7 linked regions of the Danio rerio genome follow. The protein of the gene in region 1 interacts with the protein of each later gene in a pairwise test. Links are inferred from orthologs where the notes say so. Each region holds a gene or a part of one and is shown in the gene's direction. Other genes may lie near its edges.

The links.
Region 2: the proteins of lnx2a (region 1) and phykpl interact in binary tests that used the Homo sapiens proteins (3 or more experiments, as listed by UniProt). The link is inferred for Danio rerio from reciprocal best matches to the Homo sapiens genes LNX2 and PHYKPL.
Region 3: the proteins of lnx2a (region 1) and srsf11 interact in a two-hybrid assay, tested with the Homo sapiens proteins (3 studies listed by BioGRID and IntAct). The link is inferred for Danio rerio from reciprocal best matches to the Homo sapiens genes LNX2 and SRSF11.
Region 4: the proteins of lnx2a (region 1) and nmd3 interact in a two-hybrid assay, tested with the Homo sapiens proteins (3 studies listed by BioGRID and IntAct). The link is inferred for Danio rerio from reciprocal best matches to the Homo sapiens genes LNX2 and NMD3.
Region 5: the proteins of lnx2a (region 1) and tubb5 interact in a two-hybrid assay, tested with the Homo sapiens proteins (3 studies listed by BioGRID and IntAct). The link is inferred for Danio rerio from reciprocal best matches to the Homo sapiens genes LNX2 and TUBB.
Region 6: the proteins of lnx2a (region 1) and map2k5 interact in binary tests that used the Homo sapiens proteins (3 or more experiments, as listed by UniProt). The link is inferred for Danio rerio from reciprocal best matches to the Homo sapiens genes LNX2 and MAP2K5.
Region 7: the proteins of lnx2a (region 1) and si:rp71-19m20.1 interact in binary tests that used the Homo sapiens proteins (3 or more experiments, as listed by UniProt). The link is inferred for Danio rerio from reciprocal best matches to the Homo sapiens genes LNX2 and C10orf88.

What each region holds. Positions count from the first base shown.
Region 1 is NC_133199.1:25,535,086-25,538,585, reverse strand, and holds part of lnx2a (ligand of Numb protein X 2a), read left to right. Parts: intron 1-124; coding exon 125-493; intron 494-2,489; coding exon 2,490-2,669; intron 2,670-3,001; coding exon 3,002-3,179; intron 3,180-3,447; coding exon of another isoform or gene 3,448-3,458; exon of another isoform or gene 3,459-3,500.
Region 2 is NC_133190.1:25,913,279-25,915,918, forward strand, and holds part of phykpl (5-phosphohydroxy-L-lysine phospho-lyase), read left to right. Parts: intron 1-1,913; coding exon 1,914-1,996; intron 1,997-2,074; coding exon 2,075-2,300; intron 2,301-2,640.
Region 3 is NC_133186.1:47,581,100-47,584,599, forward strand, and holds part of srsf11 (serine/arginine-rich splicing factor 11), read left to right. Parts: exon of another isoform or gene 1-42; coding exon 43-176; intron 177-2,172; coding exon 2,173-2,282; intron 2,283-3,497; coding exon 3,498-3,500. UniProt on the Homo sapiens protein: May function in pre-mRNA splicing.
Region 4 is NC_133190.1:1,691,723-1,695,977, forward strand, and holds the start of nmd3 (60S ribosomal export protein NMD3), read left to right. Parts: upstream 1-1,455; 5' UTR 1,456-1,561; intron 1,562-2,141; 5' UTR 2,142-2,143; coding exon 2,144-2,187; intron 2,188-3,183; coding exon 3,184-3,318; intron 3,319-4,255. UniProt on the Homo sapiens protein: Acts as an adapter for the XPO1/CRM1-mediated export of the 60S ribosomal subunit.
Region 5 is NC_133191.1:10,605,102-10,608,156, forward strand, and holds part of tubb5 (tubulin beta-5 chain), read left to right. Parts: intron 1-576; coding exon 577-685; intron 686-1,846; coding exon 1,847-1,957; intron 1,958-3,055. UniProt on the Homo sapiens protein: Tubulin is the major constituent of microtubules, a cylinder consisting of laterally associated linear protofilaments composed of alpha- and beta-tubulin heterodimers.
Region 6 is NC_133182.1:34,126,989-34,130,996, reverse strand, and holds the start of map2k5 (dual specificity mitogen-activated protein kinase kinase 5), read left to right. Parts: upstream 1-1,208; 5' UTR 1,209-1,431; coding exon 1,432-1,563; intron 1,564-1,692; exon of another isoform or gene 1,693-1,752; coding exon 1,753-1,801; intron 1,802-2,019; coding exon 2,020-2,087; intron 2,088-4,008. UniProt on the Homo sapiens protein: Acts as a scaffold for the formation of a ternary MAP3K2/MAP3K3-MAP3K5-MAPK7 signaling complex.
Region 7 is NC_133187.1:11,910,024-11,913,523, forward strand, and holds part of si:rp71-19m20.1 (ATPase PAAT), read left to right. Parts: intron 1-1,090; coding exon 1,091-1,294; intron 1,295-3,500. UniProt on the Homo sapiens protein: ATPase that regulates mitochondrial ABC transporters ABCB7, ABCB8/MITOSUR and ABCB10. Regulates mitochondrial ferric concentration and heme biosynthesis and plays a role in the maintenance of mitochondrial homeostasis and cell survival.

The sequences.
Region 1 (3,500 bases):
GGTGACCCTTGATTAATATAGGGACTAAACCAAAAAGAAAATAAATGAACAAAACTTCCGTTTAAGCATTCCACATAGATGAAACTCATTTACTCTTAGCCTAATGTTACTCTTCTGTGTGCAGGTGAACAATGTAGACATCAGTAACGTGCCCCATAACTTTGCTCGCTCTACACTGGCCCGTCCCTGTGCTACCCTTCAGCTGACGGTTTTAAGAGAGCGCCGCTGCTCTGCCAGGCCACCTGCAGCAACTGCATCACCCAAGGGCAGCCCTGCCAGCATACGCATCACCCTGCACAAGAGGGAATCATCAGAGCAGCTGGGCATCAAGCTTGTGCGGCGTACAGATGAAGCCGGCGTTTTTATTCTGGATCTGCTGGAGGGAGGCTTAGCTGCGAAAGATGGGCGACTCTGCAGCAACGACAGGGTGCTGGCTGTCAATGAGCATGACCTGAGACATGGCACGCCAGAGCTGGCAGCTCAGATTATACAGGTAAAGAGAAAAAGCATGTGTGTGGGGGAGAGGTCAGGTCAAAGAAACCTTTTTAACTAACTTCTTAATAGCCATTATTAAATGTGTATAGAGGTTTGTGTTTTTGAGGTCAAAAGAATACTAAAAGCTAAAGTGCTCTAAGTGAATTTAGACATTACAGATGTACACTCACCAGCCACTTTATAAAGTATACAGATTTCTTATCAGCCAATCACATGGCTCTAAAAAATGGTCTGAAAAAGAGAAAATATCCAGCGGCAGTTCTGTGGGCTCAAATGCCTTTATTGATGCCAGAGGTCAGAAGAGCATGGCCAGACTGGTTTCGAGCTGATAGAAAGGCAACGGTAACTCAAATAATCACTCGTTACAACTGAGGTCTGCAGAAGAGCATCTCTGAACACACAACACATCCAACATTGAAGCAGATGGACTAGAGCAGCAGAAGACAACACTGGGTGCCACTCTTGTCAGCTAAAAATGTAAACTGAGGCTACAATTCATACAGGCTCACCAAAATTGGACAATAGAAGATTGGAAAAACGTTGACTGGTCTGATGAGTCGATTTCTGCTGCGACATTTGGATGGTAGGGTTAGAATTTGGCATCGACACCATGAAAGCATGGATCCATCCTGCCTTGTATCAACAATTCAGGCTCGTTGTGGTGGTGTAATGGTGTGGGGGATATTTTCTTGGCACACTTTGGGCCCATTAGCACCATTTGACCATGGTGTCAACACCACAGCCTACCTGAGTATTGTTGCTGACCATGTCCATCCCTTTATGACCACAGTGTACCCATCTTCTGATGGCTACTTGCAGCAGGATAATGCGCCATGTCATAAAATGTGAATCATCTCAGACTGGTTTCTTAAACATGACAATGAATTCACTGTACTCAAATGGCCTCCACAGTCACCAGATTTCAATAGAATAAAGCACCTTTGGGATGCGGTGGAATGGGAGATTCGCATCATGGATGTGCAGCCGACAAATCTGCAGTACTGTGTGAGGCTATCATGTCAATATGGACCAAAATATTTCCAGTACCTTGTTGAATCTATGCCATGATGAATTAAGGCAGTTTTAAAGGCAAAAGGGGGTCCAACCCGGTACTAGTAATATGTACCTAATAAAGGGACCGGTGAGTTTATAATGTACCGTAAAAAATGGATATTCATTTTGCAATTGGTTAAATATTTGGATTTTTATATATCAAGTGAGCAGAGATTGTAGGAAAGGTAACCTAAAGTAATAAGTGTGTGTGTTTTTGATATGTGCGGGTGTGTATATGTGTATTTTCCTATAATATATATATATATATATATTTTTTTTTTTTTCCAGTTTTTGTTTTAGAAATTTATACACTTTTACAGATAATTTTTAAGGCTATGTTTCTAAATTCTGTTAGTGATTATTTATATTTTTTAATGAAAAATAATTTTTAACAATTTGAGATGGCAAAAATAGATAAAAATATATACTTTAAAAAATCAATAATATCAGCAATTTAACAGTAAGATTATCAATATATTCAAAATCTTAAACAAAAAACATCCATATATCTAAATTAAAGGCCATATCTACAGCCTGGAAAACCAATAAACGACCTAGCAACTCCCTAGCGATCACACAGCATCTTTTTTGGGCAACCACTTTACCCACCAATAGCATAACACATATTTTCTTTTTAAAATGATAAATATTTCCTTCTACTAAATATTCCTCTTATAAAACAGCTGGTGTCAAATCTCAGTGCCTGTTTAGGACATTAGGACACACTCTGCTGCCCTGCTCAGAGGGTAATGTGATTGATAGTATCTTTATGTCTACGTGAGCTGCTTTTTCCCCATCTGGCTGCCCCGATCACAGAGAAAGGGCAACTAAAGTGTTATTAAGAATAGCACTGGCAGATAGCAGACCGTCTTTGTTGGATGCAGTGCCACCTCTATAAGAGTATTAGGTATTTATACGACCGCCTACTGTCATCTTTATAGGCTAGCGGAGAAAGAGTCAATCTGCTGATTAGCCGGTCCAGCAAGCAGACTATGGCGGTGCACACAGGCTCCACCTTGACCAGGGACATTTGGAGCCATGATCACATCCCGCCACTTCCCAGTACTGCGACCCCAAGTCCCGTCCCCAGTCTGCACCTTGCCAGGTCTTCCACCCAGAGAGTGAGTACACACGCCTTGCGGCCAAGTCTGTTTGTGTTGCAGAATCTATTTTAGCATTGTGGAGACGTAATTAGGGAGCCCTATTTACGAAGCATCTGGGTAGCCTCCAGTTTTCCATGAGTTCAGACCACAACCTTAATTACTCCTTGTCGGATCTATTATGAGATCAATTCGGAAGTACAGCTGATCCCGTTGGGATGACGAACAGCACTCTACAGAGAGCCGATCAGAGTGTCAGTTTAGAAACGGGCTTCCTTTTTCTTTATCCATACCTTTGAGACACGTTTAGACTTGATGCTCTGATGCTTTTCTAATATGAGTGTGTGTTGCAGGATCTCTCCCAGTGTGTGAACTGTAAAGAGAAACACATCACTGTGAAGAAGGAGCCTCATGAGTCTCTGGGAATGACTGTGGCAGGAGGACGGGGCAGCAAAAGTGGGGAACTGCCCATATTTGTGACGAGCGTCCAGCCCCATGGCTGCCTGTCACGTGACGGACGAATCAAACGTGGTGAGTGACATTTATAGGCATCAAGCCTGTTTACCTTATTGAAGAGATCATGTTACAATTTCTTAATTTAAATAATTCCAATTAAAACCGCAAGATCTTGTTGAGTTGTTTTAGCTCTGTGTTGTTATGAAGAGTTTCAAACTTTGAAAAAAACAAGATCTAAAATACTGATACATATGCTACTGTTTATGTTCACAGACATGACCGAATAATGTGAACTTGTTTTTTTGTGTGTGTGTGTGTGTGTGTGATCTGACAAACTTAAAAGGAGGACTTTAAATATTATCTGACAGCCAGCTTTCAGTCACCTCATAAAACCCT
Region 2 (2,640 bases), on another chromosome or scaffold:
CCCACAGTCCAAAGACATGCAGTATAGGTGAATTGGGTAGGCTAAATTGTCCGCACTGTATGTGTGTAAATGAGTGTGTATGGGTGTTTCCCAGTGATGGGTTGCAGCTGGAAGGGCATCCGCTGCTTAAAACATATGCTGGATAAATTGTCGGTTCATTCCGCTGTTGCAACCCCAGATTAATAAAGGGACTAAGCCGAAAAGAAAATGAATGAATGAATAATAAAAGTCAGTGGTGTCCATGGTTATTAGATTTAACTGAAGTTAAATGAAACAATAAAAAAAATTATCAGATTTTATTTCAGCTAGAATTTTCACCAAAAAAATACATCTCATTTTAATTAAATTTAATAAAAATAATAAAATATAAAATAACATTTATTTACCAAATTATGTACAAAATTACAAAAACTTTCAAATTAAAATGAACAAAATACTATAGATTAAAAAAAAAAAACCTGTACAAAAAAAACCCTACAGATCATTCATTAGACACTTGGAGAAATTCCAGAATATGTACTGTACAGTAGTTATAGAAAAATGTTTAAACTACAGGCCTGTAGCCAGGGAAGATTTGTGAGGTTCGAAAGACCCACCGCTCAGTGACAAAGTTCCAGAATTTGTCGCATTCATGAGCTCATTCGTCCTATTTTGACTGCTATGCCATCATAAATAGTAAAAATAACCCATCAAAAGGCTTTAAGATCGAACGTAATCCTGGTGTGACTTCAGTTATTCCGTTTTGGAATAGTTATTTTTCAAGAGTCCTAATATATGACGTAAGCAAAGTCATCTTTCGCTACTGTATTGTTTTTAAATAGAGAAAATATTTTACAAGTATATTTTTTTCTAAACCTTATTCTTGAAAGAAAACATGACGAATAAAAAAAGTGTGTAGCACCAAAAGCAGCCCATATTAAGATTTATTCCAATACTATTTTGGCTATTGTTGTTATCCATGAAAAGAGGCTAGGAAAATTGTGAAGCTCTAAATTATTATTATTATTACTGTTTTTATTATTGTTATTATTGTTGTTGTTGTTGTTTGAAAATATTTTTTGTTTAAATGGCCAAATTCTTGAATGGAAAGTTGAAAGTGCTGACCGGTTTGTTATTTGCCTAATAAATTACAATAGGCTACAGTTTTTAATTTAAAAATGTTTTCTGTTGATATTATGATGTAATAAATTTGTATTTTAAAAAATATACGTGTCAATTTTCTTTATTCTAAATCTTTAGGAAATATTTTCGGTACATCAAAAAGAGTGGTTATGATGACCATCCGACAAGCTAATTCAGCTAAAAAAAAGTGAAAAATAGAAAATGAGGCGTATAACTGCAAAAAGGTCCACTTTTTTGAGAATAAAGAACCACCCCTTTTACCAGGCTGGCTAAAGCCTGAACTTGCAATTGCAAAAAAAAAAGTATAGTAAATGCAACATAACTCCTAACAGCCGGTTTGATCACATCTTCAGAAAAAAGTGAAAGTTTGTGTTGTGTGTAAATGACAATTGTGTTCTATTTGTGTAAACTTTTGCTGCCCGTGTTTACCGTTGTGTAACAAAAGACAATAGCATCAACGTTTAAAACTATTTTAATTTTAATCTGTAGAAATGTATATACATTTTTGCATTAAGAGTGTATACGATTTGCAAATCATGTCTAACTGCCTGAACTTGTTTAGTTTTTAAAAAAAGAGTGATTTATTACAAAAATGGATGTTGATCATTGAGAGTTTGGTTAACAGGACAGGGTTTGGTGTCTAAGGAACTAAAAACTGGTATCTAAATTGGATTAAAATGCTGATTTGGACCCCACTGATGTTTATTGTATTTCAAGTTTGGGAAAAAGCAAATGATGACAATGTACATTATTGGATAACCTATTATATAAATGATTAATTTTATCAACAGATTTCATCTTTTTTTGCTGAGTCTTTACCCAGCGTTGGAGGTCAAATCATTTTCCCCACTGGATATTGTAAAAGAGTAGCAGAGTAAGTGTTTTTCTACAATTTGATAAGTATCTTTATACTTTATCAGGAAACCAGTAAATGAAGCTGCTTTACCCTCAGATATGTTCATGAAGCAGGAGGGGTTTATGTGGCAGATGAGATTCAGACAGGCTTTGGTCGTGTTGGGAGTCATTTCTGGGCGTTTCAGCTTGAGGGTGAAGATTTCTGCCCTGACATTGTGACCATGGGCAAACCGATGGGCAACGGTCATCCCATTGCATGCGTGGTCACTACAGAGGAGATCGCTGGTGCTTTTACAGCCAATGGAGTGGAGTACTTCAACACAGTGAGTGCTTAGAACACCGATATGCTTGGAACTAATTCTGTGATAATGTATGTTAGAGAGCTGCACGATATATCACTTTCATATTTCACACATATAAGTCACTTTCTAAAGCCTTGTCATTTATCCACACGATAACCTCAAAACTTTATGCAATTTTAAGTGTGGCTCACACAGGTAAGTGGGCTTGACAAAGCACACTCTTTTCTCTCTAATAAAACACACACCGTACTCTAGCACTTAGTTCTCTGAGCACAAACAGTTCTTTTGTAAAATTAGCATTTGTATTGCCTCTTCTTTTTGTATTACTAAATGCCTCCTCAATTGGAAGTCGCTGTGGACA
Region 3 (3,500 bases), on another chromosome or scaffold:
TGTGTGTGTACACCTTGCAAAAGCTTCTATATTTTCTTTCAGTGATTCTCCCTTGCCTGTGACTTCACGTGTATGTTTTGTAAAGTTCCACGAGCCGGAGTCAGTCGGAGTATCGCAGCATCTGACGAACACAGTCTTCGTGGACCGAGCGCTGATCGTCGTCCCCTTTGCTGAAGGTTTGTGCCACTCCTTTATTGTTTTTAAATGTTACACGTAATCAATCCCTTCGCAGTGTTGATGACGGCTTTAGTGCAGTGAACTCCAGCGGCCGTCACACACACCTGAACGCAGTATGGGGACATTCACACAGAACGCGTTTCTTTTAAAGTGCTCTGCTTTTTGTGTTTTCGATGTAAAGGCGCACTTGATGGATGTGTGTGATCGTTACTCTTCTTTTTTTGTCAAGTTATAAGCAGTTGAAATTGTAGATGCAGCGCTGCTTGTTAATGTCAGTTTCAAAGCAGTGGACCAATCAGAAGAGTTGAGAAGTGGGACTGCTGCTGCAAGTTTGTTTAAAGTTGTGTTTTAATGCTGCGTCTTTAGTTTAGTTTTTCCCCGCGCGTGTGTTTAAAAGCAAAGACGTGTTCAGTGTGAATGAGCCCTAAGACTGTATATGCACTCAGGTGAATATTTGAGAAATGTTGGGGATTAGACGCCCTGCGTGGCAGGCGAGCTCATGTTTAACTCATTGCCTTTCCAGTTTAGTTTCATTTTTTTTGTTAAACTTTTCTCTTTGTCATCTGTGTGTGTGATTTTTATAGTGAACAAGGCAATTGCAGAGCCGGCAGATGTCTGAGAGTGACCCTCTGCTGCCCTGTAGACAAATAAAAGCGGCGGCCCACGTGTGTTTCCCTGCTGTAAACTATAATCCTCTCTTGTGTCTCCATTCAATTCAATTGAGCTCACAGACAAAGATCGATCCGTCTTTTCTTGCAAAGCACTAATGTTTAGCCTCAAATCCTCTGATTGAACTGCATGCTAATCAGACACGAGATAATCCACGGTAAGATGAGATGTAGCGCATTTCTGCATGAGTCTTTTGCACATGTATATGTGAGGAGAAGCAGCGCTTGGCAAGAGCGTAATGATAGCTGAACGCAGGGCTTTCCCTGCGCGTATGTGATGATTTGTCCAATCTCCCTCCAGTATTTTCAGCTTTTTGAGTAAGAAACAGTCTGAGAATGTTCTTTTGTTCCTCTCCACATGACTGAAAAGGCCTGAGAAGCTTTTTAACGGTCGTTTTCTGTTTTTTGTTGTTGTGTTTTCCAGTTCTTTTCCCTGGTTCTGCAAGTCCTGTAAACCAGGCCCAGCAGAAAATGCCACCCAACAGTTTTGTCTTCTGCAGCTTGTCCTGTTTCTCTCTCATATGTTCTCTCTATCTCTCTCTCTCAGCTCTCTCTCTCTCTCTCTCTCTGGTGTGTGTGTGTGTGTGTGTGTCAGTGATGATTGTGTCTTTGGAGTGAAGTATTAATTTCAGAGGCGTTCACCCAATGGACTCCATGCACTCACCAAACGTTCATTTGTCATTTAACTCTAGTTATTTTTCTCTTCAGCACTTTTTGACACACACACACACACAGTCTGTAGTTAAGTTTAAAACGGGCTTTTGCTGGAAGAGGTCCTTTCTGTTGTATATCTGTGTCAAAGTTTACCAAAGGTAAAGGCAGCTTTAGCTCTGGAATACCAGCAAAAGCCCCTTGATGTCTTTATTTTTGTGTTAGTTCTGGTAAGTCACAGCATCAGTGGTTTAATGAACTGTCATTTAATGCTGACACCCAAATCATAAACTCTGTTTTGTCTATCTTGATGTCTCTGTGTGCTTTATAGCGAAGCAGCCGACCTGAATCGCTTGTTCATTATACAACTTATGAAACTTGAGAGCACATCCCAGTGGAGATCCGGCTGTGCTTGCTTACATTTGGTTCATGACTTAAAAAATCAAGTTCAGGTGATAACATCTTGGCAGTGTGTCTAGTGTCATTTCTTTTCTTGTAGTATTGTGCACTTCATGCTATTGTTAAGGGACCTCATGTGTTAGCTTGCTCTGGCAAAGTGAGTACTGATGTCAGTGCACATTATCTTGCAAAAAAAAAGAAAGTTTGAGTTTGTGGGTCTGTCTGTGTGTGCGTGGAGAGCCGCGGCGTGCTTTAACTGTGTGTTTCTGTTCTGCAGGAGTGATTCCTGATGAGTCCAAGGCTATGTCTCTGCTTGCTCCGGCCAATGCCGTTGCAGGATTGCTTCCAGGAGGCGGACTCCTCCCCACACCCAACCCCGTCCCATCTGTGAGTGTCAATCTCTGTAACCCGAGGCTATATGCTTATTTCAGGCGATCGCCATTTTAAAACACGAAAGCGAGGCAGCGGTGGGAAGGAACCCGGGAGTATAGCATCAGCACTGTAAACATTGCAGCAACATGCTGTGAACTACAAACCTCCAGCTGTTGCCATAAATTGCAAAATGCAGAAATGGTGTAAACATCACTTTAATATCATGCAGTAAGTTTAATCTAAACAATTAACAGCAGATTAGGCATCAAACAACATCACAATCTCTTTAAGAGTAAGTGTCCTCCTAGGTTTCAGTTCATGGCAGCAGGTAAACACCATGGGGACGCTTCCCTGTTTCAGTCTATGTAACCCGGTGAGCAATAAAACCATGCAGTCCTCTGTAACACACCTTCGTGTTGTCTGTAGCAGTGTTGTCCCGGTACTGAAGTTTTAAAAGGTCCATTTCCGCTAACATTTAAGCGCCGCCGAGTTCATAAACTGTGCTGATTTGCCATAGTGTTCACCAGTGCTCAACTGGAATGACTGTGATTGGCTGTGAAGGTCATCAGTTCACCGCTCTTCACCGATTGCTAACACAGATAGACATTGGAGCGTTTTCAAGCCGTGAAGATCGGTCGATTTATCAGTAGATTGCTTGTTTGTGTTTGTACTCGGTAAACATCAGTGAACTGATGACCTTCACGGCCAATCACAGTCATTTCTGTTGAGCACGTGAACACCATGGCAAATCAGCAGTGTTTAAGAACGCCATCAACAGTGCTTAAATGTTAATGGGATATGGCCTTTTTAAAATATTTTTTTACGTTTCAGTACTGAAGTTTTGTCTTATATAGTGAAAGAATCCGTTCATTAACTTAAGGTTGATAAAAGGCATCTAAAACGTGCGTTTGGAAAAGAAAACGTTAGCTAACTAGTTTCATTTCCCTTAACTTAGCTGAAAATGAGCTTTGATATCCCTTTTTATTTTCACTATTCATTCAGAACGGATCTTCAGATCACTTGGAACGTGGTGAAATGGTAAATTTGTGTCACTTTCTCTTCGCTGATGAGATATACAGTCAGGTAGACAAAATTCCTCTCTGACTCAGACGATACTTCCAGGTTTCTTCCACCGCAGCCTCGATTTCGCTGTTTAAAATGTCCGCCTCGTGAAATCAGTCTATGGTCCTCCTTGCACTGTAGTGATGCTCGTGTGCTTTGTCTTGTCAGATT
Region 4 (4,255 bases), on another chromosome or scaffold:
AATGTGTATTTCTATAGCGCATTTAATGTGTATGGTCATACACCCAAAGCACTTTCACAATCATGAGGGGGGTCTCTCCACACCACCACCAGTGTGCAGATCCTCTTGGATAGCATAGGCATAGCCAGCAACATTACAGAAATGTCCAGAAAAACACCAAACAACATCCTCAAAATGGACCATTCACCTTCAGAAGTGTCACAATAGCGGAAAAGAAGACATTCCTCCATTTCATGCTGACTTTAATTAATTTTCTCAAAACACTATGCATGTCGGCTGTGCTGTCAAATTAAGGAAACATAGATAATAGAATGTTTATAATTATTAATATGCAGTTATTTATATATGATTTTATATATATATAAATTCATTTTCTTTTCAGCTTAGTCCCTTTATTAATCAGGGGTGGCCACAGCAGAATGAACCACCAACTTATCCAGCATATGTTTTACACAGCAGATGCCCTTCCAGCCGCAACCAAACACTGGGAAACACCCATATACTCTTGCATTCACACATACACTACGTACAATTTAGTTAATCAATTCCTCTATAGCCCATGTGTTTGGACTGTGGGGGACACCCGGGCAGAGAAACCCACGCAAACACAGGGAGAACATGCAAACTCCACACAGAAATGCCAACTGACCCAGCGACCTTCTTGCTGTGAGGCGAACATGCTACCCACTGCACCACCGTGACGCCTCAAACCAACGCATGCCTCCCACCAGTGCTGATTCACAGCCACATTACACTACTACTTGTGTGATATTGTGTGTGTGTGTGTGTGTGTATATATATATATATATATATATATATATATATATATATATATATATATATATATATATATATATATATATATATATATGTTTTTTTTAACCATGTCTATGTATATAAAAGTGCTAGGTATATTAGTACTAGGTATAACTAGGTATATTTCTGCAATAGGCCTACTAGGCTAACTCTTTTTAGATTTATAATGTATTTCAGTTTGAATAATAAAAAACTGCTGCTGTCATGTTTTATTTCTCAAAGTATCACCACTTATAAATCTCAAAGATTATGCAACATTATGTTTTTGGGTTTTGTCTGCAGCTTTAAATCACCCATTTGAACCTAATTACCCTGTATTTACCGAGCCATCTTGTCAAAACCAGACTATTATCCTTGCTCATGCTTTACTGGGGTTTAAAATTAGAAAGATTTTCACTCAGTTCCCTCGGAGAATAACCATTTGTTTGTTTGTTTTTTCTCATTTACATTCAGGCGCAGTTCGGACAGCTATCGGGTGTTGTTATTTGTTTATTTATATTGTTTTAAAGAATTCACAAATAACAAATACAGAAAAAACAGACAAAACAAAAACTGCAAAGATGATATAAAAAACAAAAGAAAAATATAAGAAAAACGAAACGGAAGACGGTCAGCTGCAAGGGTCTTTTTTGACAACGTGTCGTGACGTCATCAACAGGCGCACACACACACGTGCGGAGTTCGTGTGATTTTCGCGAGGAGATGTTCATTTAGTTGAGTCGATCAACGCTGATTTAACAACACAGTGAGTATCGATCCAGTGTTTGTGTGTATAATAGTATAGTAATAACAATACTGGCGAAGATATCGAGAGCGTTATAGTCTTCTCACAACCATACTTCACACGTAATTACACCCATACATACATACAAAGAGTGATCTGTAAGTTAGCAATGGTGTATGTGTTTATCTGTCAGTGGATACATTATTTTAAGTTTATGACAGTGGTGACCAGTTCTGTTAGACTGATTATGCTTTATATTGTTAATGTCATGAATATGGAGTGAAGTTGGTTTTATATTCGCACTCTTAGACGTTCTTTCTAATAATATAGCGTTAATTTCAGAAAAGCATACTTGCAAATTCTAATAAATAGGAAAATCAGCAGCGAATGACTATTAAAGGACAACACTGTTGACAGTCAGTAAATAATGCTAATGTTGTTTTGAAGCGCTTACATGCGATTTCAGACCCAATATTATAAGTTTATCCTGATAAACAATGTAGGGAGCGTTAAAAGGAAACAAATGTGCGAATATAAAACAAACTCAATATATTATGAGTGTGATTAATGATGTTTGGGGTCTGTGTTGTTGCTGTTGTAGTCATGGAGTACATGCAGGCTCCGCCATCCAGCAGCCACGGCAATATGTGAGTATTCAACTTTTATAAGTACTGTGTTGTTATATTAATATTAGTATTTACTCTCCCTCAAGTGGTCGCAGATGTTTATGAGTTTCTTTTATTTCTGCCGAACCAAAAATAAACTTGAATTATTAATCAACAGCATCAGTTGAGATTTGGCTCCTACATATTGCTTTTTTTTTAATGTAAGGCATTTTTCAGTCATTCATTTTCCTTCGGTGTAGTCTCTGATTTATCAGGGGCCGCCACAGCAGAATGAACCGTTAACTATTCTAGCATATGTTTTAAACAGCGCATGCCCTTCCAGCTGCAACCCAGTACTGGGAAACACTCATACACACTCACACTTTGCTATCTGGACTGTGCCCAGGCCCGTTTCCCGGATCATTTGAGAAGTGCGTGTGCGCTGAATTGGGCTCAGGCACATTTCAGTTGGCCGGCCCTAGCGGTTCACTTGGGCAGTTCACTTGGGCTAAGCGCGCCTGAGCCCGTAACTGAAGACGAGACGTGACTTTTAAGGGACTGTTTCATATTGATTTATTAATCATTATTAATGTTCAATAAACACAAACCATCGTAGATTATTAAAGACACAAACCCCTCACTGCACGACAGCTGCACCTTCAGCAAACCTCCTAAATCCTGCAGCACGAGGCAATAATCTCAGCTACACAGAAATTGGGAAAAAAATAAACGGGGGCGAATAATTCAGGGGGCTAATAATTCTGAATTCAACTGTACATATTGTCATTATTATTATTTATATATTTTAGCTTGTGTATTATTTATTGCTGAATTTAAATTGTTATGATATTGTTATAACTATAGAAATTGTGTTTATTTTATTGTTATAAATATAGTGGTATTTATAAAATGTGGTAAACTTGATCTGTTTTTGTTTTTGCCATGACATAGCTAAAGAAGCTGAAACCGCATTAATCTCGAAATTCTCTCTCCCTCATTGTCTTACTGTATTTCTGTTTATCTGTATGCTTTTTTCAGTCTTTGCTGTACGTGTGGCGTTCCCATTCCTCCAAACCCAGCCAACATGTGTGTCTCCTGCTTGAGGACTCAGGTGGACATCTCTGAGGGCATCCCCAAACAAGTGACCATCCATTTCTGCAGGCAGTGTGAACGGTACGCTCTGTTTCTGTTAGCCATGGGCCGGTGTACGATTCTGACGATACAATAACCTTGGATAAAATGATCACGGTTTCACGGTATTGTGATTACTGCTCTAAAATCTGTTCTTTTCACATGTCTGGATAAGAAAAAAACGTTTGCCTGTTAAACAGATTCTATTTGTTTTTAAGTATTTCTAATATTTTGGAGCAGTGAACATGTCAGGCTAAATAATTAGAATAAATCATTGCCTTTTGCTGTCTTCATTAGTATCAAAAACACAGATTTCTTTGCAACCTTAAAAGGCAACTTGGCATATCTTTTATTTTTGGATATACAGTAAAGTCACTGTACTGCTCAGCTCTACAGCATGCTGGATGTTGGTTTATAAGTGACTTGTTTTTTAAATGATAGCTTTTTCTGCTGCTGGAGATAATGTTGCCCTAAAAAAACAAATTAAATAGTCATGAAAAACACACACACACACACACACACACACACACAAAATTACATATACCGTAAGAACAGTACAACAGAAAATATGAGCTGTTTAAAACACCCGGTTCCTTCCGGTACACGTAGGGCCCTATCATACACCCGGCGCAATGTGGTGCAATGCAATTGTTATTTGCTACTTTCAGCTTGGCGCAAGAGTCGTTTTGAGGTGTTGCACCACGCTGTTTAAATAGCAAATGCATTTGCACTTATATGTGCGCCCATAGGCGTTCTGGTCTAAAAAAAGCAGGCGTGTTTTGGCGCGTTGCTATTTTGAGAAACTATAAGTCTGTTTTTTAGACCAGAACAAAGCCGGTCTATTGTCTGGCGCAGAGCGCGCCTAGCTTACACACTGCTTAATACACACACGATGTAGAGCAATACGCAAATATCTTTACATAAAAAAAGAATTTAAATATTACGATATATATATATAGGATATAATAAGAATATATAT
Region 5 (3,055 bases), on another chromosome or scaffold:
TTGAATAATTGGCAAAAAAAATTATAAAATGATTAAAGTAATTACATTATTTTCTTTTTGTTATAAAGGTCAAATAACTGAAGGTGAATGATTTCATACAGCATGTGTCCGCTAGGTTTTTTTTATGATGATATTATGTGTTGACAGCAGAAATGTGGCTAACAGGTTCTGATAGGCAAGAGTGTCAGAACGGGGTCATGGTAGGCCTGTGTCCATCAGCGCATTCTAGTTTGTTGGCCTCATTCTTTCAAAACAATTATTTTCAATAAACATCCCATGCAAGAACAATCTTTTCTTTTTCCGTTCACTTGCTGATATCCGTCTATCTCGACCTCCATCTCTGCGCTTTTCTATCAGATTAGGGTCACATGGAGAGTAACCTAGAATTAATGATTTAAATGTCCATAAGGCCTCCTGCTGAGGTAAAACTCAGCTGAAACCAATTCCAGTTTACAGATTAACGATTGGTTTATACTGATGCTCAACATTCAGTGCCTAATAGGATAGATTTGATGCATACTTTTGTGTGTATGTGCAGTCGGGAAGATGTCTGTAATGTCTGTGTGTTGTTTGTAGTTTTGGGAGGTGATCAGCGATGAACATGGAATCGACCCAACCGGAACCTATCATGGAGACAGTGACCTCCAGCTGGACAGAATCAGTGTCTACTACAATGAGGCTACAGGTACTTTAAGACATTGGTATAAAGAAAGATGAAAGTATATTATTAGCATGAACAGTATTGATAATCAAAAGTTTTTTTTTTTTACTTTTTAATGATTGTTTAAAGGATTTGTTACCAATTCTTTATTAGTTATGTCATAACATAAAATGCATTATAATCTTTAAGTTTTAATCTTTAATCAAGCATTTCACTTGGAAGTTCATCCCAATAAAGGAGAAAATATATTTCTATTTCATAATTATTTTTAGAGAAATACATGGAAAGTTTTCAAATGGTTCTTAAAGCAAAAGGCTGAAAATCATGAATATGTGATACGAGATCAGTTCTATTTATTTTAATTGATTCATTTAAGTTTTTAAACTTTTCTGAATCAGATTTTTGCTAATTATGTAATATGACTTTAATCATTTTAACGTTAAGTACATAATAGACAATAGATATGCTATGTAAATGCATGTATTTTGCAATTTAATTATAGAAAGCAATTATTTAAATGATTCCGTTCAATAGCAATGTTAACTCCTTAAGTTGGATGGTCCATTTCTGATTTTTTTTTTTACTTCAGTCATACAGATATTATTACAAATAATACAAACATCATATTTGTTTCATCTTTATTAACATTTAATTACAGTAGTATAAAACATAATAAAAATATAACTTAAATAATATGTAAATAAATATTACATAATCTAATAATTACTAGAGTAGTTTAATAAAATGGGATTCAAACAAAGTAAATTGGTTTGTGAATCCATAAAATGTTTTATTAAATTAACATTTCCAAAGTTCCAAAGTTTTTGAACCATTTATAAAATGATGGTCTTTAAATAAGACGTTACATACAATAGATGTATTTTACATTTTAATATAATAATTTAATTAATAATAATTTAATTAATAATAATTTTAATATGAGCGTCCCTTGTAAATCTCCAGGCCTAAACCAGAGCTATTCACTAAATATGTTGAGGTTAAACTTGAGGTCAACTAGAGGTGACATCTAGAGGTCAATATTAGAATTAAACATTCTCAACCTACATCTTAAAGCCCTAAACCTGCATGCAGATACTACAATATCTCATTTCAAACATTTAGTTTCCTATATGTACTGAGCTGGTCTGTTTCTCTTTTTTTCTTGTTTCTCTATGTCTCGTGGAGGAGGTAAATATGTGCCAAGAGCCATTCTAGTGGATCTGGAGCCTGGTACCATGGACTCTGTGCGTTCAGGGCCCTTTGGACAGATCTTTAGACCTGACAACTTTGTATTTGGTGAGTGACTGATAACAAGTCTATCATCACACAAAAAATCTAATTGACAAAAATTATGGAACAGAATCATAGGGTTATCTTACCCAAAAACACAATTATTTTACTAATTATTCACCCTCATGTCATTCCAAGCCCCTGAGATCTTTGTTCATCTTTAGGACACAAGTTTTGATTTTAAATTATGGTGAAATCTGAGAGCTCATTCATCTTCCATAGACATCAATGTTCCTGGCTTGTTTAAAGTCAAGAAAGGGACCAAAACTTTCTCAAAACATACCATATGTCTTCAAAGCTTCAATCAGAATATTATAGAACTAAAAGAATACTTTTGTGCACATATAAAACAAAAACAAGGACTTTATTCCATGGCTTCTTCTGTTAAGTGTCAGTATATTGCACACATCTTTAAGTACTGTGTGGTGACGAATATCCCTCTGATGCCTGTGATTGGTTTCCTCTGTTTGAAACAAAGCACTGGTGCATCCGAGGTAATATGAATGTGACACCTGACACATGAATGTGCGCCCTGTATTGAATGATTTTTCTAACTTCTTCTGGAAGAGTCTGGAACATTGCTGTATATAGAGAATAAGGAAGCCCTCAGATTTAATCTAAAACATAATTATCATAGCCATATCTACCTGCAGCTCAAGACCGGTTACTCACTGAAGCTAAGCAAGGCTGGGCCTGGTCAGTACCTGGATGGGAGACCCAATGGGAAAACTAGGTTTCTGTTGGAAGTGGTGTTAGTGAGGCCAACAGGGTGTGGTCTGTGCGCTCAATCTGTGGTCTGTGTCCTAATGCCCCAGTATATTGAAGGGGACACCATAACGTTCAGTGAGCGCCGTCTTTTGGATGAGACGTTAAACTGAGGTCCTGACTCTTTCTGGCCATTAAAAATCCCATGGCACTTCTTGTAAAGAGTAGGGGTGTGACCACAGTGCCCTGGCCAAATTCCTTCCATCGACCCTTACCCAATCATCCCCATCCACCAAATTAGCTCTATCACTGTCTCTCCACTCCACCAATAGCTAGTGTTTGGTAAGCGCACTGGCGCCGTTGTCTTGTGGCTGCCACCCTGTCATCCAAGTGGATGCT
Region 6 (4,008 bases), on another chromosome or scaffold:
CTAGTCCCAAACAAGGAACAAAACTTCACCAATTGACGAAAGTAAAGGAAAAAACCTCAAGAGAAACCAGGCTCAGGTGGGCATGACCATTTCTCCTCTGGTCAAACTTCTTGTGCAGAGCTGTAGTCTAGGCGCTGGAGGCTTAAGAATTCTGGATTTCCATCACGGAGAAGCTGCAGGTGTGAGTAGGTCACTGGCAGTGTTCAAGTTGGCCCACTGGATCAACTTGTCTGTCACTGGGGTCTTTCAGGAATCAGTCTCATTCTCTCCGCTCCTCCATGACCACCACAGAATCAGCTCAGAATACGGCCTGGTCCAGGATTATGGATAGCTTGGCATAATTTATTCACAGGTCTTGGATCCAGGCCTGGATTAAGAATTCAGAGTTCCCTGGGCACATTGTCTTGTAGGGCCCCTTACCCGGCCGCACCCCAATAGTTGAAAAAAAAAAGAATAATATAATATTTAAAAAAATTAATCTGAGTTTCATCATAAGTTTATTTAAATTTTAAATTGAGATATTTAGCTGATGCTTTTGTCCAAAGTAACTTACAATTGAGGAAGAACAAGAAGATATTTAAAAAAAAATGTTAGAAACCTGTAACCATTGACTTGCATAGTATATATTTCCTATTATGGAAGGTAATGATTACAGGCTTTCTTCAACATATTTTGTGTTCAATAAAAGAAAGAAACTCATAAAGATTTGGAATCCATCGAGGACGAGCAAATAGTGAGTAAATTTAGCTTTTTGGTGAACTAATCCTTTAAATTATGATAAAGCACATTAAGAAATAATATAAATATACCTTTTCTGTATATAATAAGTAATAAAAACATACGTTTATTGCTTTCTATCTAAACAATTAAATTATGTTTAATTATATTTCAGTTCTTGTTTGAATGTGATGTTAAAGTTAACAAAAAATCGTTAACAAAATCTAAAAATTAGTAAAGATTACAAAACGCGTTTGGGAAATAAGCACATTAATATTATCCCAGAAAGCTTGAGTAACAGAACAACCCCAAAACAAATGATTTATAGTTTCAGGAGAGCAACATAACAGCTCCAAAATATTTATCACAACTCGCAAGATTGCTTTCTGAGGCTTTTATGCGCCTCTAGTAGAGGTTCAGCTTCCGGGTAAACGTCGATATACTTCCGCGTAACTTCCTCTGTTTTACTTTCATTGTTGACAGTTTGATAACTACTGATAAAATCTAACACAGTTAACAGGCAGACAGAAAGTCTTTAGCACATCTGGAATGACATGTCGCGAGTTTATTAGACGGAATGTTCGCTGCGTCAGTCGTGTTTTAAATGCGCTCATGCTACGTTAAACTGTTAGCCTCCTAGCCAGCTCTCCAGCTGCTGTTGGTCTGAAAATCCGGTCTAAAAGCCAAGATTATGTTTGTCGGTGTGTTTTTGTTATGCTTTTACTTGTTTTGAGTAACCTGAGCAATATGGAATCTGAGGGAATCGTCATCCGGATAAAGACGCCGGTGGGGGACATGGACTCGCCAGTGGACAGTCCATCACATCTCAACTTCAATGATTTGCTGGTGAGCAGCTGCTTTAATTTAACTCACAGCCAGTTTTCATCTCATATCTTATGACTTTTTAAAGAGGGAAACCATTTGTGGAGCATGCCATTTATTAAAATGTGCTTTTTGCTATGTGTTTTCGAATAGTGGTGCTGATTGACAGCTGTCAGTCAAATGTGTGATTGCTGAGATTCCCTTTTTTGACAGGCCGCGATCAGAGATGCCATGCCTGAAGCCACAGTCACAGCATTTGAGTGTAAGTATTGCTGCTGTATTTTACTTATGTTACTCAAGTTTAAATGCAATCAGTATAGCTAATAGAGTAAAAAGAAATAGGAAAACATAACTTCATTTCTTTGCAATACTGTTGTCCTGAACTAAAGAGTTGTTCATGCAAATGAGTAAATATACAGTGCAGGATAAAAATGCTTGTGGAAATTAGCTTGTAAATAATGGAGTTCGCTTTTATTTCAGATGAGGATGAAGTTGGTGACCGAATCACAGTTCGCAGTGATGACGAGCTCAAAGCCATGCTGTCCTATGTGAGTATGTCTGAAATTTCTGTCAGACTCTTTGTTGAGACTTTTAATTGATCTGTTATGTGGTTTGACTTCTAAAGCAGTTTTAAAAAGCAGACTACCGACTATTAAAAAACTTTGCTTAGAATTGTAAACTTAACTTCACAAATAAGGAAGTTAATGCACTTGTAAAATATTCATATATTTGTAATTATAGTAGTTTCTTAATAAATCAAATATATTTTAACTTTTATGATGAATAAGTCAGTTGTTTTGGATATTGTTATTGTCAACAAGAAATTGTGCAGACATTCATTCATACATTTGCACCTTTTTTTTTAATGCAAATTTTATTATGTCAAGTCAAACTTGTCACAAAATATATGTTTTACTACGAAATCATTTAGGATATCGATAATATAGCAGCATCCATAAAAATTATGCCATCGTTTACTCGCCTTTAACTTATTTGCGTTTTTTTTGTTATGTTGAAGTCCCTTAAAAGCCTCGTTTACATTATGAATGACTTGCAACAGCAAAGCGACAAACGACCGTTCATTTTAACGGAGTGCAAGCTACTTCCAGTGACCTCTGTCTATGCGAGTGACAGTGAACGTTGGTGACCAGGTGTGCATGAGCGATGCAACAAAGTTGAGAATCCTTCAACTTTCTTGAGCGACAGCCAATAGGTGCACCATTAGAGCTCATGTGATCCTATCTCAGCTTGATTGTATTCTCTGTGCTGTAGACCTGCATAGACCTGTTTGCAGCATGTCGCCACCCAGAGCGACAGGCAACTACAAAGTAGCTACTACTGACCATCTCGGCGACCATCTGGGAAACGCCTCTCTGGCAGTATGCTCGGGCATTCTGTCTGAATGGGGAAACTCTTTCTTTCAAATAAATGAATAACTTAAATAAACGTAATTTTCCAAAATGTTTGACACGCACACACGTAGCCTGCTGTACTGTCCCACTAACACATTGATTGAATAAGTGTCACAAAGTGAACACAAAGTGGCGTGTTGAAATGACTGAAAAACACATACTGTGGTAAATACTACACAACACAAACTAAATGAAATGAAATTATAACTGCTCCAGATTAGAATCAACATACAAATCAGCCAGAAAAGTATCAGTAGCATACTTTTATTGGTAATTTTTGGAAATTGCATCCCTTCCATACCTGCCAGTTTCATGCCAGTAATATGGTTTGCTCTTTAAAATGCAGTGAGGTATTGATTGTGAGTGTGTGCATTGAAGAGCCGCGGCATACACTGACGCTATATTTCAGCATCTGTTTTTCTCTTGCACTTGAACCTCATCTTACAGAAGTACAGCGACTTTAACACACATCTTTCTTTCTAAATTAATGTTTTGCATAAAAAAAAACACTTTGAAGCCACTGAAAACAGTAAACACACTACCGGAAGGCGCTGGTCACTATGGTGCCCTCCATGCAGCAATGAAGAAAAAGGTCTATAGTCTTTAGTTAAACACAAATGAGGAATTATTGAAGATTCAGTGGAAACTGAAAACCATTGACCTCCATAGCAATTTCTTCTTCTTACTATGGAAGTCAGTGGATACAGGTTTCCAACATTTTGCAATGTGTCTTCTTTTGTGTTCAACAGAACAATAAAAAACAAAAATACTCTGTAAACTGTTTCGGGAACAAATCAAAGGTGTATAAGTGATGGTACATTATGGAAAGAATTTTCATTTTTGGATGAACTATCCCTTTAAATTGCAATGCCCCCACCTACTATGTTGGAGTGTCAAGCAGATAGTTATTGGTGCTGGATTATTTACAGTTTTATCACGTCTGTTATATCATTGTCTGTATTTATTTATTTATTTATTACACTTCATGGTTATTATCAATACCAAAAGATTACAACAACACTTGTTTATATTGCGTGCAATGTTAAACAAAGCAAAA
Region 7 (3,500 bases), on another chromosome or scaffold:
TAGATAAATAGATAGATAGATAGATAGATAGATAGATAGATAGATAGATAGATAGATAGATAGATAGATAGATAGATAGATAGATAGATCATAACAAGAACTGCTGCTTAATTGAATGCATGTAATAGCGACACCCGGTGGTTATTTATTGAATTGCGTTCATTTTTGTATAGCGGGCCAGATTCTATTGATATTTATAAAAAGCCTCGCGGGCCGCCACAAAACTGATTGCGGGCCACAGATGGCCCGCGGGCCGTAGTTTGGACACGCCTGTATTAAAGTGATAGTTCACCCAAAAATCAAATGTACTCACTATTGACTCACCCTCAAGGCAGTTCCAAACATTCACAAGTTTTTTTCCTCTGTTGAACACAAAAGAATATATTTTGAAGAAAGCTAAAAACCTGTAAGCGTTGACTTTCATAGTCAAAAATCTTAAAAATATCTTCTTTTGTGTTCAGCAGAATAAAGAACATCATAAAGGATTGAAACCTCTTGAGGGTAAGTGAATTTTCATTTTTGTGTGAACTATTCTTTTAACATCTGAAGTAGCTCACATTCTTTAAAATATCTGCATCTCTGTTTAACAGAAAAAAAGAAACTTGAGCAGGTTTGGATGTGGATGGTGAGGAAATAATGGCAGAATTTTCACCTGTTTTTGAACTATCCCTTTAGACACCTTTAGAAAAAATATAAAACAACATTTAACACCAGGAGAAGCAAACAAGTAAATAAGTAGGTAAATAAATAATTGGAATATGAAGGAAAGTTGTGACATGTGGCCAAGTATGGTGACTCATTATACTTGGAATTTGTGCTCAGCCTTTAACTCATCCAAGTGCAGTGAACAGACACACCATGAACACACACCTAGAGCAGTTGGGGGTTCTGTGCCTTGCTCAAGGGACTCCTCTTAGCCATGGTATTATAAGTGGTGAGAGCACTGGTTATTCACTCTTACCACCTACCATCTCTGCCGGTGCCAGGACTCGAGCCTGTGACCTTCACAAGTCCAACTCTTTAAACATTAGGCCATGACTCTTCCCATGAAGTGTTTTTGTGACTGTATTTGCACATGCATTTCTCCTAGGAATGAAGCTGTCTGTCTGGAGAGAGCAGAAGAGGACTCACCGTGTGTCGTCACACTTCAGTGTTCACCCGGCTCTGCGTCTGCGATCAGCAGTCTTCAGGTGGTCAGTGAAGCCCGCACTATTGAAGTGTACTCGCTGTCTGGAGAATACTGCGGCACCTGCCGTGGAGAGGAAGTTCAAATATCACACACTAATGGGTATATGTATGCGAATGCTTAAGTTTACTTTACTAAACTTACTCAATTAAATCCTAATCATGTCATGACAAACTATATATCAGTGGAAGGTCTAAGACTTTTAAATACATATTTCATCACTTTTTTGTTATGTAGGAAGAGTAATAGATTAAAAAATATATATAAGGTCAATATGGTCACCAATGGAAACTGGATGTCATCTGGTCCTGATAATTGATCTTGCAGCCAAGCCAAATAAAATCTTACTAAAAGCTTCTAATTTGAAATATGAGTGGTTCAGATAATTAGATTTTCTGCCATTTTTCAAAACATAAAATACATATTGTATGTAATGTATTCATAAACAATGAAGGCACATAACTTTTATTTTAATCGACATTTCAACTTCTGCCTTCTGTCTTCTTTAAAATAAGACCAAGCTTAAATCTATTGACCAAGGCATTGAAGACATTTAAGTTGAACGTCATTTTCATATGTGCAAAAAGTGGGGGCGACAGTTAAGTTGTTAAATTATTATTATTATTATTATTATTATTATTATTATTATTATTATTATTATTATTATATCATGCTCTTATTGATATAGGCTATGTTTAACAACTACCAATTTTTTTTTCTCAAAGTGTAATACACATAGAAATACACTTCTGATGTAACATAATATACAGATCTCAGATTTCATGAACTTTTCGCTCTTATTTGCATGCAATTTGAAATAATACATTTTTTAAATAGTAAGCTAATTTAGTTAAATAGCAAACAAATACACACATACACAGCTAATGAAAAAAGACAGCATGTACATTTTTACTTTTAATAATTTCAGATTTTTTTTTTGTAATTAAGCAACTTCAGACTTTTCTTGCAAATTTAAAATAAAAAAGTTGTCATTTAGTGTTTGTCTATTTTTAAGCACAACTTCAACATTTAGACGTTAAGAAAAAGTAAAGAAATCAATTTTTGCTGGAATAACCCTAATTTTTTATTACACTAAATCAATTATTACCAGTTGTCCTTTTCTGCTCAACATTTTCATCAGTTAAATTTATCAGACTGTTGTTGAGTGCAACATATTAAAATTTTACTTAAACTCATATCTAACAAATCCAATGATTTTTCAAGTAGTCTTTTAATTCTTCTCCGAAGCTGTAATTACTTTGAATTTGCCGTTTTTATAATGCAAATATCTACAGTTGAAGTCAGAATTATGAGCCCCCCCTGTTTATATTTTCCCCAATTTTTGCTTAACGGAGAGCAGATTTTTTCAACACATTTCTAAACAATAGTTTTAATAATTCATTGCAGATTTTATTTGACTCTTTTATGGAAAAAAGAGCAGTTGTGATTTTTAAGATAATACACATCCCCTTTACTTAGCATTTGAATTTCTACCATCAGGACGCAGGTTTAGAATTAATAAAGCACGAAGAAATGCCTATAAAAAGTCATTTATCCCAATGGCAGTTGTTGTTCTAAACCGGATCAATGTTTGTAGTGGATGAGGTGGTTACCAAGAATGATTTGCAGTATTGTGCATGGGGCTAATTTGGTTTTTAAACTTTTAACTTATGTTGATGTCTTGATAAGTGTGATTGTATCGTAGTTGTATGTTTGTAATTGTTGTCCTAAATCCAGTGTTGAAGAAAAATTTCCTTTCTGTGTCAAGCAGAACGGACAATAAAGTTTTAACTAAAACTAACTTATTTCTAATAACTGATTTATTTTATAAATTTGCCATGATGACAGTAAATAATATTTGACTAGATATTTTTCAAGGCACTAGTATTCAGCTTAAAGTGACACTTAAACGCTTAACTTGGTTAATTAGGTTAACCAGGCAAGTTAGGGTAATTAGGCAAGTTACTGTATAAGGATGGTTTGTTCTGTAGACAATAGAAAAAAAAACTAGCTTAAAAGGGCTAATAATTTTGACCTTAAAATGGTGTTTAAAAAATTGAAAACTGCTTTTATTCCAGCCGAAATAAAACAAATAAGACTTTCTCCAGAAGAAAAAATATTATCAGGCCTACTTTGAAAATTTCCTTTCTCTGTTAAACATCATTTGGAAAATATTTGAAAATGAAAAAATAAAAAATAAAGTGGGCTATTAATTCAGACTAGTTTTTGTTATTTTTAGTTTTTGTCAAACAAGAAAATGTAATTAATTATATTCCACCTCACAAAATGAATTTGTTTTTTGGGTTTTCTTTTA